Linked DNA regions of Oryzias latipes. The protein of the gene in region 1 binds, or shares a complex with, the protein of each later gene. Links are inferred from orthologs where the notes say so. Each region holds a gene or a part of one and is shown in the gene's direction. Other genes may lie near its edges.

What was found.
Region 2: tctn1 (region 1) and b9d2 share a complex: the UniProt entries of both Homo sapiens proteins name them as parts of the tectonic-like complex. The link is inferred for Oryzias latipes from reciprocal best matches to the Homo sapiens genes TCTN1 and B9D2.

The regions. Positions count from the first base shown.
Region 1 is NC_019868.2:27,629,294-27,631,746, forward strand, and holds part of tctn1 (tectonic-1), read left to right. Parts: intron 1-42; coding exon 43-191; intron 192-1,249; coding exon 1,250-1,352; intron 1,353-1,460; coding exon 1,461-1,573; intron 1,574-1,818; coding exon 1,819-1,839; intron 1,840-2,162; coding exon 2,163-2,297; intron 2,298-2,381; coding exon 2,382-2,453. UniProt on the Homo sapiens protein: Component of the tectonic-like complex, a complex localized at the transition zone of primary cilia and acting as a barrier that prevents diffusion of transmembrane proteins between the cilia and plasma membranes.
Region 2 is NC_019863.2:10,016,938-10,019,754, forward strand, and holds b9d2 (B9 domain-containing protein 2), read left to right. Parts: upstream 1-1,352; 5' UTR 1,353-1,518; coding exon 1,519-2,046; 3' UTR 2,047-2,201; downstream 2,202-2,817. Other genes in the region: poc1a (POC1 centriolar protein homolog A), read right to left, coding at 1-82, 267-438, 533-617. UniProt on the Homo sapiens protein: Component of the tectonic-like complex, a complex localized at the transition zone of primary cilia and acting as a barrier that prevents diffusion of transmembrane proteins between the cilia and plasma membranes.

The DNA.
Region 1 (2,453 bases):
GGTCGTGTCAGGGTTGGGGTCTGACCTGCTGCGTGTCTGCAGGCGTGGACGGGTTGTCTCTTCCTCCGCCGGCTCTTCCCACCGACAGAAACTTCCAGACTCTCTTTCAACGGTTCAGCAGCTTCATGTTTGGCGCTCAGAGCAGCGACCAGGAGCTTCCCGCTCAAGTCCAGAGCTCACCTGGATACCAGGTAACGTTTGACTCAGTGGCTGTTTTGAGCGTTTGCTCAATAGTTTGAACTCTGTTTTTAAAAAACAGGGAGGGAGGGGGGGGGCTTTACTTTCTTTGCTGTTTTACACTTGTACAAGCTTCGGTAGTAAAGCTGTGGTTGGTGTTGTATGGCTGACAGGCACAACCCGCCGTCTGGGTCCGCTTTTTACCGGCCCTCACTAGCCAAGCAGCTGTTGCCCCCTCCCACCCTCACTGCCCCCACACCGCTCTCTTTTTACGTGCCCTCATTGGCTAAGCGGCTGCTTCTCGCCCCTCACAGCCAATGTTCACTTTGGCTAAAAGTGCTAATTAATTGCTGAAAGTGCCAGCAGTGCTTCAGCATCATTAACTATTAAAAAATACATTTAAATAGATTTTGTTTTTGGCAAAAATTGTTCCGATGCAATGCATTGTGGTCTATATTCGCCGATCTGTTGAGCGTCGAAGCCCACCTGTTTTTCGCTGAGACTCCCGGGAAATTTCTAGGGCACTGGATTTTGGAATTGTAGATTTGGACAGCACTAGAAAATGGCGATCGCACTATTGAGTGCACTATGTAGGGGTTTGGGTGGGAGTTTGGACATAACCTACAATTCCAAAATCCAGTGCGAATATATACCACAATGCATTGCATCGGAACAATTGCCCAAAAAAATGTATTTAAATGTAATATTTTTATAAATCATCAACGTTTTTATTTTCAGAAGACAGTGGACTCATAAATAATCGTCACAAAACGCTCATATTAAATAGATATGAACTTGATTTCATAGATTCTAACTTAACGATGACGTCATATCCGCCGTTAAGAAAAAAAAGTAGTGAGCATGGTGTCTTTTATAATTCAGGGCACTTAGTATTTTAGTTCTGCTTAGTTTTTTTAGTAGTTAGGGAATTCAGACACAGAAAAACACACTGCTAAAGATGCTAACCATGCTAGCAGCGCTAACAGTCAATACCACATGGTGGCGCTCTTGTGGTGTTGTAGAAAGTGGTTAATGTGCTGAATCAGGTTGTTGGTTCTGGCTGTGGTTCCAGTTTGGAGATGTCCTGAGGACTGCAGACGAGAGCGGGCAGGGGGGGGTGTTTTACCTGCCTGCTGCAGGCATCACTGCTGCCTGTGTGGACAAGAGTCCAGCAGGTAAACCTGAGCGGGCTTCATGTCTGCACACAGAGTTCACATGTAGGTTTGACTCTTTTTATTTATTGTTCTTTGACATCGAGTGTTTTGCTGTTTTTTTTCCCCCAGCGTTCCTAAAGGATCAGCAGAGCCGGTGTTCCCGACGCGTGATCCTGGAGACGGACTGCAGCTCCCTGCCTGCTCTCAGCATGGACTCATACTCCAACATCCTGCTGCTTAATGTGAGGCTCCCGTCCTGAAAGCACAGCACTGCCAGCTTCTCAATGCTCTTTCCTCTTCTCCACTGAAAAGTGATGCTAGATCTGAATAATTCAGATACTTTAGACTTTATTCTAACATTTTAACTAATAATTTATTATTTTTGTGAATTATTTTATACACGAGAAGCTGAAACTTCATGTACCTCCACCAAATGTGTCCAGTGTGACTGAATAGCAAACCTTTTGCCGCTTTTTCTGCTCTGCAGGGGAAGAATCAAGATGCAGCAGTGAGTATTTCTCCTCATTTCTGTTTGTGAAGATAATATTTTCTCTTTTGCCTAAACTGAAGCTGTGCTCCAAAGTTTCCCTCATGTACGATTCAGCTGCAAACTTCCTGTTTCCAGTTTGATAGATCTATTTTTTTATTTTTAAAGTCTTAAGTATTGATCATTTCTTCTAAGGTTTCTAAAATAAAAGCTAGACTTTTCGGTATAAAGGCTCGTCTCGTGAAGTTCAGGTCTCCAGTTTCTCCCATCAGAGCTGTGAAACATCACTGAAGCACGGACGGGCTGATGATTCAGACGCATTATTGTCCCACTTCCTGCTCCAGGTGGTTCCTGTGGACGTATCCTCCGTGGTGCTTCGGTCCACAGAAGGAACTCAGTCTGAGCTGACGGTCGGCGCCGGAGAGGACCTGCGTCCTGTTCTCCTCAGCACCGGCGTCTGCGCCCGTGTGGCGCTGAAGGTGAACTGTCGAAGCGTCTCCGTTCTTCGGAAACGTCAGAGTCGTTTTGGGCGATTGGATTTTTGAAGAACTTTGTCTCTCCAGGTAGTTTATGTGATCCGGTACAACGCGGCGGGCGAGGTGGTGAACGCTGCCGTCTCCGTGGTGCTGGGGTTC
Region 2 (2,817 bases), on another chromosome or scaffold:
TACCAGAGTCTGTCCATCGTCAGAAAAGTTAACACAACGCACAGCGGCGGTGTGAGCCCTGAACTCTGTTGAGTCCGCCTTTCTGTAAGCACACACATCACCACAAATGAAAATCAAACAAAACTCAGTGGGTTTGACCAGTTTTGACTTAAAAATGATGAGTGGCATTCAGTGATTTCAGCTTTGTTACTCTGATGAGGCATTATTGTTATGAAGGATAAACAAAGTAACGGTAAACAAAATGACAAATTGAAAAAAAAACCTACATGCTGGGAACCCAAAGACGTACAGTCTTGTCTCTGGAGGCCGAAGCGACCATGTGACCCGATGGAGAAAACTGCACAGACGTGACTGCGTCTTTGTGGCCCTCAAAGCGATAAGCTCGCATCTGAGGTTTCATGTTCCAGATCATTACACATGAGTCCACAGAACCTGTGGCTGAGAGAATAAAAAACACAGACAAGAAAGAAAATGACTTTGCTGAACGTAAAAACACTTTGGCAATTAGGAAAATCAAGGAGAAGATACCCACCAATCTGTTTCATATTGCAACTGAAATCTACGCTCGTCACTGCACCCCTGTGACCCTTGAAATGCCTCTCAAGGGTGGGATCAGACTATTTGAAAGAAAAAGAGAGAAAACCAAATCAGCCCAAGGAAAAAAATGTATTTAATAACCTGAAAAAACCAATAAAAGTTTGTTGCTATAGGTTCAAGCATCAAAAGTGTTTTTGGGTGAGCCAACACATTAGGACAATTAAATAAAATCAACAAAACAATCAAAATCATTAAGAATGCATAAAATATATATGTACACAAAAGACCTATGTTGTTTTGCACTCTTGATCACAATAGAAAAATGGTCATGGTTACATTTATTATGATTATATGTCGTAAATTATGACATAGCAATGTATTCGCTGATAAATGCAAAGAACTATATCACCACCATTGCAGAGTACTACAAAGTAGAGCCACTGAAGGGGCTATTTCCTTTTATTCTTTCCTGTGTTCTGATATGAGGCACTGTAACCTCCTCCAGTTTGATACAAATTAAAACACACACATGCAGACAAAGGCAATTTAAAAAAATGTATTTGAAATGAGCAGGTATAAGTTTACTTTTTAAAGTTAGAACAAAAATGAAAACAAGACACCATGAAACTTTAACCCTGAGTATAGTTTTTCAGGATACAAATGTATAATATTGTGGTTAATTATTGTCCTTCACCGACTATTTACCCCAAAATAAAATCTGGTTAGTAACGGGACACACGAGTTTCCCGCCAGTGGTTTCCTATTATCTTGCTTTGTAAGAAACGGAATCACATTAAGCAGAGAGCTGTGCCTGACAGTCAGAAAGGAGGGTTAAATCTTAGCGCTGACGGCAAACCGGTTTGTGTTGCCAGGGAGACGTGTGCGGCGGCTGTTGCTAGCCGCTAAGCTAGCAACTACTGGCGAAGGGTGGAGGAGCCTTTTTTGTAGTCGTATGTTTTGGTCAAAGAAGGCTGTTGTAACATGGCAGAGCTGCATATTATAGGACAAATCCTCGGGGCCAGAGGCTTTCCGCAAAATAGTCTATTTTGCAAATGGGGAGTTCATACTGGAGGAGCATGGCGGCTTCTCTCTGGGCTGAAGGAGGGCCAGACCCAAGTGGACATCCCCCAAACGGGTAATATGGCCTACTGGAGTCACCCAATCGATCTACAGTTCGCAACTAAAGGACTGCAAGGTTGGCCGAAGCTACACCTCCAAGTGTGGCACCAGGACTCGTTCGGGCGCTGCCAGCTGTACGGATACGGATACTGCCACGTCCCGTGCAGCCCCGGAACCCACCGGATAGAGTGTGTGACGTGGAGGCCGCTCGGTTCCTGGCAGGAACAGATCACCCAAATGTTTGTCGGCGGAGGTCCACAACTCCGCAGTCCGGACCTCATCTACAGCGGAGCGGACAGATACCGACTGCAGACCGAGGCCATGGGAACTGTGGAGCTGGAGCTCGGTGTAATTATGAGACACTTTGACAAATATGGTGTCGACAGCTGATGCGTGACATGACGGAGCAACTCCGAAAAACCCATGACATTTCAACTGGCACGTGCTTTATATTTACACATGACGCTTCTCCACGTTTTTGTACGTTTCAAATTGCAATTATCACTCAAAATGCCAATATGTGTAAATAAAATACTGTCATCGAAGTTGGTTGTTTTTTGCTGTACCCTAGTTTTTACCTTTAACTTGGTTTTAATAACATTTTCTAGCAGTCCTCCCCTCATTCCCCTTATGAGACAGTTTTGCAAAGACTTTGGTTTATTTTGATATTTAAAAAAAATGTACCTTAAATCCTCAAGTAAGATGACCTCTCATTAAGGTCACAAAACTGATGACCTTACTAATAGTATGACATTTTACAGGACATTTATCCTGATATATTGATTTTAAATGCAAAATACAAGTTCCTCTTGAAAGGTAAAAGGCATTAGTGATGCTCACTAAACTTTAAATCTATGTGATGTGCAATGTAACATAGCAACAAAAGAAAATAATAACTCAAGTTAAAGTGTATTCTAATTTAGAAAAAGAAAGCCCTCAAATAATGGCAATGTTGTAAAATAGATTAAAGAGCTTTGAAAAAGATCTAAAGACGCGCTCTAATCATTTTTTATGTATTGTAAAAGCGTTCCCAGTGGTCTTTTAATTATGATTATGCAGTTTTAAGCCAAAATAAAGAAACCTGTGTTGTTTACTAGGACGTAGTTTCTGCAGAACGTCAGGAGTTAGTTAGAATTGTGGGCAGGGCTGATGGCATGGAGT